Callithrix jacchus: one gene and its partners. The protein of the gene in region 1 interacts with the protein of each later gene in a pairwise test. Links are inferred from orthologs where the notes say so. Each region holds a gene or a part of one and is shown on either strand. Other genes may lie near its edges.

Evidence for each region.
Region 2: the proteins of NDN (region 1) and EID1 interact in binary tests that used the Homo sapiens proteins (3 or more experiments, as listed by UniProt). The link is inferred for Callithrix jacchus from reciprocal best matches to the Homo sapiens genes NDN and EID1.
Region 3: the proteins of NDN (region 1) and TFIP11 interact in a two-hybrid assay, tested with the Homo sapiens proteins (2 studies listed by BioGRID and IntAct). The link is inferred for Callithrix jacchus from reciprocal best matches to the Homo sapiens genes NDN and TFIP11.

The regions. Positions count from the first base shown.
Region 1 is NC_133507.1:5,529,719-5,533,559, reverse strand, and holds NDN (necdin), read right to left. Parts: upstream 2,407-3,841; 5' UTR 2,319-2,406; coding exon 1,353-2,318; 3' UTR 507-1,352; downstream 1-506. UniProt on the Homo sapiens protein: Growth suppressor that facilitates the entry of the cell into cell cycle arrest.
Region 2 is NC_133509.1:36,625,011-36,628,624, reverse strand, and holds EID1 (EP300-interacting inhibitor of differentiation 1), read right to left. Parts: upstream 2,349-3,614; 5' UTR 2,264-2,348; coding exon 1,688-2,263; 3' UTR 617-1,687; downstream 1-616. UniProt on the Homo sapiens protein: Interacts with RB1 and EP300 and acts as a repressor of MYOD1 transactivation. Inhibits EP300 and CBP histone acetyltransferase activity.
Region 3 is NC_133502.1:197,239,392-197,243,491, forward strand, and holds the start of TFIP11 (tuftelin-interacting protein 11), read right to left. Parts: upstream 2,917-4,100; 5' UTR 2,836-2,916; intron 2,747-2,835; exon of another isoform or gene 2,720-2,746; 5' UTR 2,565-2,719; intron 638-2,564; 5' UTR 629-637; coding exon 420-628; intron 1-419. UniProt on the Homo sapiens protein: Involved in pre-mRNA splicing, specifically in spliceosome disassembly during late-stage splicing events. Intron turnover seems to proceed through reactions in two lariat-intron associated complexes termed Intron Large (IL) and Intron Small (IS).

The DNA of each region.
Region 1 (3,841 bases):
AAAAACAAGATGAAAATTTCTTAATTTACACAATCAGAATAATCTTGCTTTCTCCAAAATATTGTGAGAACTAGAAAAATAAAATTCCTAGCCTCTCTCTCTGTGTGGCCCATGAATGCATGTGAGTGTGGGAGGTGGGAGCTGGGAGTGTGGGCTCCCACGTAAAATGTAAAAATAAGTTTGAAAATAAATAACCTAAAAGCCACAGGGTGTATGAGGGATTGTAGGCAGGTGGGGACAAATGTGGGCTCTGGATTCATTCTGAGTTGAAGTGCCAGCTCCTTCTCTTGCTAACCTTTACAAGCTATGGAAAGTTAATTACCTACATTATTCCTGTTTCCTCCATGGTGCAAAGGCAGTAGATGCCTTCCTCACAGGCCTGTTGTGAGGGTTAAATAAAAGGGGAAAAATACATGTTAGGGCTGAGTACAATGTCTCACTCTTTAAGTGCCCACAAGACATCCATTAATTTTGATAAAATATAGAAACTTAAGGGAAGGAAGTTATTTTTAGTTTTTATTCTCATATGATGTGATGATGGACAATCATACTGCTTTGTTTTTATACTTTATATTTGTGCATGTTTTTGAAATAAACAATTACATTTAAAGACAATAAAACTATAACCTTCACAAATTTAGGAGTAATCACGAGTAGCGATTTTTCCCACCCTATTAGGGGAAACAGTTACATCTGTACACATTGTAAAATAGAGAATTGTCTCATTCCCAATCATAGTGCTCTGTTAAAATGATAAGAGTACACTTTTCCAAAAATGATTGTATCACAAGAATCTTTAATGTTTACTTTAAAGTTGACTCACGGTAGGGTTGTATATGTGTTTAGTAAATTGTGCCAAGTGCTCACATTGAGACCAGTCCAGTTCAAATCAGTTTACTCCACGAGAATGTCTTCTGTGCCCAGCAAGGTCACGAAGAGCCTTGACTTTTCTCTTGGTTAGGCCAGCTTTGCTGGTGAGTTCTTCCAAACTCTGCAGGAGCAGTCTACCCCAACACACATCACCAGTCCCATATAAAATAATAAGATGCAAACTTTCTCAAGGTACTTCGTCAGTTTAGCATGTCTCAGGTACAAAAATCCAAGAAAGGTAGCACAAAAGCGAAAGCACCAACCAAGCTTACATATAAACAAACATGCATACATCCTAAATACTACACAAGAGTACCCAAATGAATACAACATTGCATTAAAGGTATAAAAGCACTGTACTGAAAACTTAAAAGTTACACGTGAATACTGCACTGTAAATCCCGAACACTCTAATGACCCACCCCCACCCTTCCACAGCCCCGGTGAGGGTCAGAAAGCATTTCATCTGCCTCCAGACCTTGCTAGTCCTCGGAGACACTGTTGCGGGGGCAGTGAGCAGCGGGATTAGCCTCCCGCAGAGCTCTGGCCTCCTCCAGGGCTTCTCTGTATCGGGAGGGCCAGGCCTGGGGGTCTTTCTTAAAGACCCTGGCCAGGAACTCCATGATTTGCATCTTGGTGATTTCACGGCTGGCCCGGGAGCCCCAGAAGAACTCATACTCTGGCGGCTCCACGTACGGGACGCGCTGGTACTTCAGGTAATTCTGTTGGACGAACTCCTCGGTGATGAGCTTTCGCACGTCCCCGAAGGTGGAGTGCTTCTTCCAGGGCCGCAGCCCCAGGATGCGCAGCACGTTCCAGACGGCGCTCTCTCTGGCGCCGCGGCCCTTCACGTAGATGAGGCTCAGGATCATGAGCAGGAGGCCCGTCATGGGCATGCGGTTGCTCAGCGCCACCCTGTCCAGCTCCTCCGGCTCCAGCGCTTTGACCAGCGCAAACTCCATGGTGTGCAGGCTGGTCAGCCTCAGGTGCAGCCCGAACACCCGGGCGAGGATGAGGCTGGTGCGCCGCAGGATGCTCCTGCACCACTTCTTGTAGCTGCCGATGACATCTTTCACCATGTCTGGAAACCAGATGATCATCTTCTTCTGGTCCTTGACCAGCACGTACCACATGAGCTCGTGCGCCTTCTGCACCAGCTGCGCCGGGGCGGGCGGCGCCGGGCCGGGCTGGGCCGCGCTCGGGGCCTGGTGGGCGCGGCCCTCCTCTGCGGCCTCCAGCAAAGCCTTCGGGTCGACCTCCTCGATCGGGGCCTGGGGCGGCTGCGCGGCCTGCGGGGCGGCCGTCGGGCCTAGGGGAGGGCTCTGCGGCTCCGCCAGGGTCGCGGACGGAGGAACCCCCCCCGGAACCCCAGGGCTGCTCTGCGCCTCGGAGCTGGGTGCCTCGGCGGCAAAGCTAGGGTCGCTCAGATCCTTACTCTGCTCTGACATGTCTGCGCCGTCTGGCAAGGGCAGGGCCTCTGCGTCCAGGAGCTCTTCGAGCCTGCGCTCCCTCCGCGGACTCCTGGAGAGGAAGTGCGCGTTGCTGCGCGCGGCGCCTTCCGCAGCGGCGGGCAGGGCGGGGCGGCGGCGGGACGCGGCACTGCGCCTGCGCGACCGCGGCCAGGGCGGGCGGGCGGCCGGGGGCGGGCGGGGCCGCGAGGGGCCCCGACGGGGAGGGTCCGCGGTGAGGCGTCACCTGGCGGGACAGCGATCCCGGGGTTTCCTGTTCCGGCCGAGGAAGTTCAGGGTAGGAGAGGAGGGAGATGGATGCCTGTGGAGAAGGAGCAGGTTTTGGGGAAAGATGATAACTCAGGTTTTGGGGATGCTGGGGTCGACTTTCCTGGGAAATGCTCGCCTGGGTATATCCAGAATCCAGTTAAGTATGAGAGCCCCAGAGGAAGGTCTGGGAGGCTGTGCAAACTGGAGCTTTATGTGAACGAGTGAGAGGAACGGTCGGGCTGTCCGAGAAGACGTGTAAACTGTGAGGCGGATGTCCGAGGTTGGAATCCTGAGAAATTCCAATAAAAAGTTGATTGACTCCCTCCCTACCACATCAGAGGGGTTATAAGGAAAGGAGAAATGCGGTTATAAGGAAAGGAGAAATGCAGCGTGTCGTTAACGTGATTTCCTACCCGCGTGAGCCGTGAACTTGTTCAGGAGGCAGTGGGCTTAGACCATCATTGATGCTTTCATGGGCATAGGTTTGGCTTTTACACTTACTTTGAGTCACTTTGATTCCATTTTCTTTTATTTTTCCATGCTTAGTCCATAACAGAAGGATTGCCATATCTATTAGCACAAACTTGTATGATAATGCATTTTTCCCTCTGCCCAGCACCTCATTCTCCGATTCACCTTCTCCCAGGACCTTCTCTGAAGCTACTGAGTCCTCAGTGTTGGGAGTCACACCCAAATCATTCCTTCCTGAGATCTCCAAAAAGATATAGGTCCCATGGGCAATATCTGGCGGTGTCTCAGATGACCAAAAGGTAGCGGGGGCAACATATGGATAGCCCTGTTTTCCAGTTATAGAAAACAGATTCCCAGTGGGCCAAGGCAAAGCTGTCACTCCTAGAGGCTGTCCGTGGAAAAAGGGGCATTGCTGGAGCCTCCACAACCAGGGGCCTCCATGCTGCTTCAGCATCCTTGGTCTGCGTTGATGTGGTCCTTCAGCCCTTGCCGGGTTCCCTCTCATCAGCAGCTTCTTAAATATGTTGTCTCGAGTCTAGTTATTGCCACTTGAAGCCCAAAGCATGTTTTAAAATTGTCTTGACATGTCTAGAGTCCTCACTATGAGTATCTATCTTTTCTCATTTGTCACTTTAATTTTCCTCAAGCAGGTTGGTGTTGAAGGGTTTTCTGTGCTTTCTCTGGTTGGGTTGGCATGCATGTGACACTTTTGACAGGGCCATTCCCACGCCAGTCCCTCCAACAGGACTCTTTGGTCTCTTTAGCTTCCCACTCCACCAGGG
Region 2 (3,614 bases), on another chromosome or scaffold:
TAATTATCTGGCTACACTCATCTGACTGCTGCTACAGGCTGAGAAAGCAGTGGAAGAGATCGTAGGATTAAGAAATTTAAGCACCAACATTTTACTTCCACCATCTCTCCCTCCCAACTCAGCTAATGTCTGAGCAATTTTGATCATCCTTGTCACACTCCTATCTTTTACAGATCCCTCTCCCCAAAAGACAGATGACCGTAAAATAAATTAGGCTCTGAGTGGTCCTGTTGCATTGGATATATGTTCTTTACTGCTACAATGGAGCAGAAGCATCTGGAATCTTTTTACTGATCATAAAACCTGCTGATAAACTCATTTTGCTGAGCATAGCCTTCTGATGTAATTACACTCCTAAAACTTCAGCATCTTAGTAAGATAACCACAGCAACATACTCATTGACAGGGCAGGTTTTCCTAGACCAGCAAATTCTTATAGGTAAAAACTTAATTTACAAAATTTAATTTCCAGAAACAAATTTGTGAATTAGATATCTTAAGCTGGATCATTTTCCCTTAATACTAATTAAGTTTAAATCAAGTGGTTGCAATAATACATACAATAAAAAGTAGTATACAGAGAAAGTATGTATGCAATACGATCAACCAAACAAAATACACAGAACAAGAAATTTTATTATCTCCAATGCTGGTGCATAACAAATAACAAGCTTAAGAGGAGGAGACAGAGGGAGGGAAACTTCAGATTACAAGGTAATTTTTGGGCAGGTTTAAAACCTTTAAGAGTTGATAGAATAACTGTTCATAAAGTCTTTTTAGATATAGGGCTTTTTACTTGACAACTTTTATTAACAGTTCTTACAATATGAAGTTCAACTAAAGTCTTTCACCCGTCAAGTCAAAACAGCAAGCAAAACAAAATTTCTCTAGTATATAACAGCGTTAGAAATGGTTTTTCTTTGTACATTCACACACAATGTCTAGATTTGAAACTTTTAAATTAAGGATGTCTTAATTTTTGACTTTTAAAAATGGTCTTGACAATGGATTTTCTTGATTTATAGATCACAGTGGCTTTATAAATGATCAAGATACGTGTACAAACAAAATTTCAAATGCTTTTGGAAACACATCTTAAGACATATAGCACGTGATATATATTTGAGTTTGCTCATCCTTTTGGGATAATGAAGACTACTCCATTTATCTTACACTGAAAATTTAGCCTTTGATAACTATGGCTTGAACAGATCACAAAATAGAATTTTCCAAGTTTTCTTAAGCTTTCAGTCCAAATAACTCAAAAGATATGTGTCCTAGTTGGATACATTTTTTTCTCATATAATCAGTATCAGTGGGCTCTTGTCTTGGTTTGTCTTGGTCATGACTTATTCTTGCAAAACCATCTTTACAGCAAAACAAATATGAAAGATATTTTCCCCAATGCAAGGAAAATAATCTGGATCAATAACAAAGTCAAAGCCATTGGTGTTTTAGGACATTCTTGAGAACAGACTTCAACAGTCTAAACATCATTTTTTCTTTAATGATTCTCTTCTTTTTTCACAACTGTACAGTCACTATCCTATTGTCTTCTATTCTGAAAAACACATTTTTTTGAAGGTCAAGTTTTTCAATGGCACAGAACTATTTGGAATGAACCCAAAAGATACCGGAAAGTTGGGTCCCTCCTCAAGTAGTTTCCTCCTCTTTTAACAGCATGTAACTACTCTCTATCAATAATCTCATCACAGCCGAGTTCTTCGGTCAGACGATTGACAACCATCAGTGAAAAAAGCTCTTCGATGAAAGCTAACTGATCAAACGGGGTCTTCTCATAATGCATCTGAAACCCGCCATCCAGGGCTGCTTCTCTTGCTCTGGTTGTTCTCAGAAACATCTTGTTGGCTTCTTCGAGAGCTGCTGATACTCGGTAGCCGGCACCACTAAGCTGCTCCTCTTCCGGATAGTCGTAGTCGTCCTCCCAGTCATCAAATTCCTCGCCCTCGTCTTCGCTCTCGAAGTCTGCGCCCGCCACCTGGCCTGGCTGCTCCCCAGCGTTGGGCCCGTTAGCAAGGCTCCGCTTCCCCTCTGGCGCCGCCATTGGCTGGGCCGCCTCCTCCTCCATTGGGCCTTCCTCCTCTAGCTGTGGCGGGGCCCGGTTGCGGGAGGGACGCAAGGATAGCTCCCGGCTCCCGCTGCCTACCTCCATCTGCGGAAGGTCACCCTCGCCAGGCATCACATCCATCTGCAGGTCACTGTTCTCCTCATACAGCTCAGACAGCTCGGCCATTTCCGACATTGTGCAAACCGCTCAACCTCTCGGAAAAAGCTTTCAGCAAGATAGAAACTGCGCGGTCGTGCGCCTGTGCGCGTGCGCAAAGTCTGTGAGCTTGCGTAACCACTCGCGCAGGCGTAGTCGTCAGGTACCGCCTCCTACTTGGCGCTCCACTGCGATTGGAGGCAGTCAATGTTTTTCCCCGGGTGTTAGCGTCGCTTTTGAGCTGGGTTTCCACCTATTAGAGCTTCGTAACTAGGGATCCTGCTTGCAAAAGCATTACAGTTTCTGTGTTACTTAACCATCCTGCTGCTCGTGATGCTGCAAACTGTTAAATAACCTAACGTGGCTTTTTTAACACCTGATGCTTCTCCCCTCCTTTCTTCCTCCTCCTTTGGGCAGTTTATCTATGTGCTGATGACTTCTAAATCTACATCTCCAAATCAGACAACATCCATAACCACAGATCAGCATATTAAGAACTAATTCATTCTGCCGTTTTAGTGTTGTCATTACAATAGTTGTATTCACAAACAACAGAAACGTTGTACTTTTTTTTTAAGTTAGCCTGAAGAAATATTTGGTTCCATTTCTTTTCTCCTGAAAGGTATCTTTCCGCTATTATCAATGCGGTGTGTATTCTTTAAATTCTTTTTATTTGCGTTTACATGTATCTTTATGTATTCATAGAAAAAAATACTATTTTGTGTGTTTTTTAAAAACATGTCTTACCTATCTTCAACTTAAAAGCTGAATCTTTTGTGTATACCTCTATGAATTATAGGACTATGTATACTAACATGATTCAAGCACATTTCGTTTATTCTCTTTATTTCTATTATTATTACATTGGAGTATATAATGAAATAATTATACAACTCCCCATAATGTAGAATCAGTGCGAGCCCTGAGCTTCTTTTCCTGCAACTGGACAGTCCCATCTGAGAGTGATGAGACACAGTGACACCCGAGGTGTGTTGCTTATGTCCAGTCTATTCTGTAATCTCGTTTTGGTTGCTGCTACTGCAGAAAACCCTGCCTCACAAAGATAGAATGTTGGAAATGGAAGCAGGCTTTTCAGTAATTTTGTGGCAATCTCAGGATATTCCTCCTTGACTTAAATGAGAACATATAGAATGAGGCCAGCGTCATCCTGATACCAAAAAGAAAAAAAAAAAATCGAACGTATAGAGATTTGAAGTCTCAAACATACTTTTAAGGCCTCTGTCATTTTCAATATCAAGCAGTTGATCCTCTTCTAGCATGACAAAGTGGATTCACCTGGATTATTCGCAAAAGGGTCACAGATCCATTCTGTCTTTTGTGAATGGGAAGTGTGATGGTTAATACTGAAATTCAACTTGATTGGATTGAA
Region 3 (4,100 bases), on another chromosome or scaffold:
CAGGAATTTGAGACCAACCTGGCCAACACGGCAAAACCGCGTCTCTATTAATAATACAAAAATTAGCTGGAGGTGGTGGCGTGTGCCTGTAATCCCAGCTACTCCAGAGGCTGAGGTGCAAGAATCACTTGAACTCCGGAGGCAGAGGTTGCAGCGAGCCAAGATCACGTCACTGCACTCCAGCTCGAGTGACAGAGTAAAACTGCATCTCAAAAAAAAACAAATAAAATAAAATAATTTGGTAAAAGAACAGCACTCTAGCCTAAAGAGGAAACTGGACCTCTTGAGGTGATGTCACAACTAACAGTCTCAATAAGGCCAGGTGAGAAGTATACTTATCAGGGGATCCCCTCCACTCCCTGTCCATCTTTCTCCTCTTCCCTAAAGCAAGGTGAAGCAGCCCCCATGCCAGGCAATACCGTTTGCCTCCAAAGCTGGGCCTCTCCTCATCTGAGTCTCGCTCTGCCCACACCCCATAGGTGGCTTCTTCCTTGGTCTGCCAGTGGCGCTGTCGGTTGGGGTTGAACTCATTCTGGAGATCCCAATCAGTGATCTCAAAGTTCTCCCGTTCATCATCATCATCATCAATGCGGTCTTCCCCATCCCGGTACAAGTGGGACAGTGACATGGCCAGTCACTAAAGGAAGAGATAAAAAGGGCACAGTCCATAATAAGTCCTGGGGGCAGCAGCAGGAGGATTCCTCTATTCCTTGCTGCCTTCAGAACTTTCTCCAAATTTAAAGTCCATTAAAATTGGCATTACTGTTCAATAAAGTAGATATTAAAAACATATTTTTAGAAAACAATCAGTACTAAAACGGGAAAAAAATACCAGTCCCAACAGTCTATGTTTCTTTAAAAGTATGTATTTCCTTGTCCTAGTCAATATCACAAATATCACACACATTCACACATACATAAACCACACAAAAATATCTAAGTAGGTTATTTTATACAGTATTGCTTTAGAAAATGAGTGGATATCTTCTTAGATCCCAGATTCCTTTACTTTTTCTATTACTGAGGTAAGAATTATATCTGGATCCTTGGTGGTCCAGGAGAGTGACTTTTTTAGAATATGCTTTTTAAAATACACTACTTGATGAAACATAATTTTTAGTTTTCATTGCAAGACATGTATTTCTTCTGATGAGCTAAAAAACTGTAGTAATTATGAACACTATTTTAATAGTCAGATATCCAGGGATTGAAATAAAGAATCTACCTCATGGTAGCTGGGGGATGAGATTCAGTTGTCTTTCTTAAATTGGGATAAACTACTATACCCACCTTAGAGAATGCTTATAAGGTGAATTCAATGAGTTCAAAATAAGTGCTCAAGAAACCATAGCTTCTACTGTAGTCCCATGATTAGGTTAATCATTGTATTAGTCAGGGTTCTCTAGAGGGAGTGAACTAATGGAATATATATGTATATATATATAGGAATATGTATATGGAATATTATATATTCTGTTCCATATATATAGTTATATATATTCCATTAGTTCTGTCCCTCTTAATTCCCATATATATATTCCATATATAAACTCCATAAACTCCCATATATATATAATATATATATATGGGAGTGTATTAAGGATAAACTCACACCATCAAGGTCCTACAAAAGGCTGTCTGTTGGCTGAGGAGCAAGGAGAGCCAGCCGGAGTTCCAAAACTGAAGAACTGGAAGTCTGATGTTCCAGGGCAGGAACCATCCAGCACCGGAGAAAGATGAAGGCTGGGAGGCTAGGCCTCTTTACATTTTTCTGCCTGCTTATATTCTAGCTGTGCTAGCAGCTGATTAGATTATGCCCGCACGATTAAGCGTGGGTCTGCTTTTCCCAAACTACTGACTCAAATGTTAATCTCCTTTGGCTACACCCCCACAGACACACCCCAGGATCAATACTTCATATCCTTCAATCCAATCAACTTGACAGTATCAAACATCACAATCATTACTATTATTGGACTAGGGAGTAAACTTAAAGTGATTGCAAAATCAGGCATGCTAAAATCAAAGCCTAACTTCAAATTCAACTCTACCAGATACTCAGTGTATGAGTATTAAATGCACACGAAGTGCCAAGCCTGGTGCACTACACAATAATACATTCAATAGGTGACAGCAATTGTGATTCTGGTCTTCCTGAAAGCGGCCTTAAGGCATAAGGAATTCCCTACTTCCACAGGCCAGTGTCAAACTCTGGTCAACTCTGGCAAAACGTTATCCTTGCCTTCTAGTCACTGGTGCCCTGGTTGGGTGCAGCTGGTCCCAACCTCTTCCAGGAATGTATACAAAGGAAAGGGTCTCAGAAGAGGTGGGGAATCTCAGATATATAAGGTTAAATAATACCAATGTCTCCGTGGACACAGGGAGTGGTGATAAGCCCTGAGTAGCCACAAATTATGAAGTCCTCATCAGTAGAAGCTAGGTACATGATGGTCGCTTGAGCCCTATTATCAACTGTGTGCATCAAGACACTTTTACAAGGCAGTTACCATTAATTTTCATGCTTCAGGTAAGAAAAGGGAGGTTCAGAGAAGTTAGTAACTTACCCTAGGTTCCACTGCTTATAGGGCTCAAACTCAGGAGCGCTAGAAGCCAGGCCTCGGGCTTGTCTCTCTCTTGCTGTCTAGGTTTGGCGAAGGAGGCTCAGGTTCTTGACTGACCCCAACCAGCACCGCCCTTCTCCGTGCCTCGACAGAGCTGTCTGCGAAATGGAATCCCCTCCCCACCCCTACATCGGCTTGGGCCGAGGCTCGCCTTCCCTGAGCCGGAGCCCTACTCCCACTGCCCCTGAGTCCCCTCGTGGCAAGCCCTACTCACCTCTCCGAGGCTCCAGCGTACCAAACTCAACTTCACAGTCCACGGAAGAAGGCAGTCTCTCCTACGCCAGACCCCGGATGCGCCGGAGTCGGCGCGCCGGAAATGACGTTGTCGACAGCGGATGTCGCGCTGGCTGCAAGGGCAGGATGGAACGCTGCGGCAGATTTGCCTGTAGAATGGCGGGCTGGGATCTTAGAAAGGAGGGGTGGATTTGCAAGGACCAAAATGATGGCTGGGGCGTGGTTTCCCCGTGAAGTGGGCCTCCCTGCTGCGCCTGCTTCGCACTGCGACGCTCAGCCTGTGATGACTGGTGTGGAATCCGCTGAGCCATCTTGGCCTAAGGAGACTTTGCCACTCTGAGATTGTAAATCTGTAAAATAGAGATGTAGGATTAGCCCATAGGGTAGTTGTGGTACATACTGTGAGATGATAGGGTGCCTGGGACACAGCATTCAATTGGGTATAATGAAGATCAAAACTGTGTCTCTTGTATCTTTGGCTCTGTCTCATAAGCACCGTCTTGGGCACAGGGCAGTGTCCTTTATGCAGGAGTTTAAGAGGGAATGAAGGAATAATGGGCAAACTCTAGAGTTCCCAAGTATTCTCTCCAGGAGACGTTTCCATTCTCATTTCCAGCAGGTTTGTAAATTCATTCATTTATTCACTGATTTAATTAAAATATACTGAGTGCCCCTCACCTGTGCTAGGCCAAGGAGATATAGTGAGCAGAATACTCCTGGGCCCTCCCTGGGAAGCCCTCACTATCCCTGGGCTCTGTGTAGACATTTAACTATACACAGGCTCTGGAGTTCCAAACTTGACTCTGCAATTTAGCAGCTGTGGACCTTGGGCAAGTCTAAGAAAACACGTAAGTGAGTTTTCTCTTCTGCAAAATGGCTAAGGATTCAATAAGATAAAACTGTAGGCCACAAAAACTGTGCCTGGCACACAGTAGGTGCTGAGAAAGAGTCAGCTATTAATTTTTGCTTATTTTTCTCTCTGCTCTATGTGATGAAAAGATCCAAGAGACAATTGTTGGAATGTAAAAAGAGCATGGGACTTGGAGTCAAATACTTACATCTACCATCAAATGGTTGTTAAGAATTAAACAATTTTTGTGTACCCAGTTAAATGTGGGTTTCTTAGCAATGGTGACTGTGTCTTAATGATCTAGTATTCCTAGTGACATGTAGAGTAATTGTGCCTGACACATAGTATGTACTCTGGAAAGAAATAGAAAATGTAGTTTTAGCATTGAAGCCTGG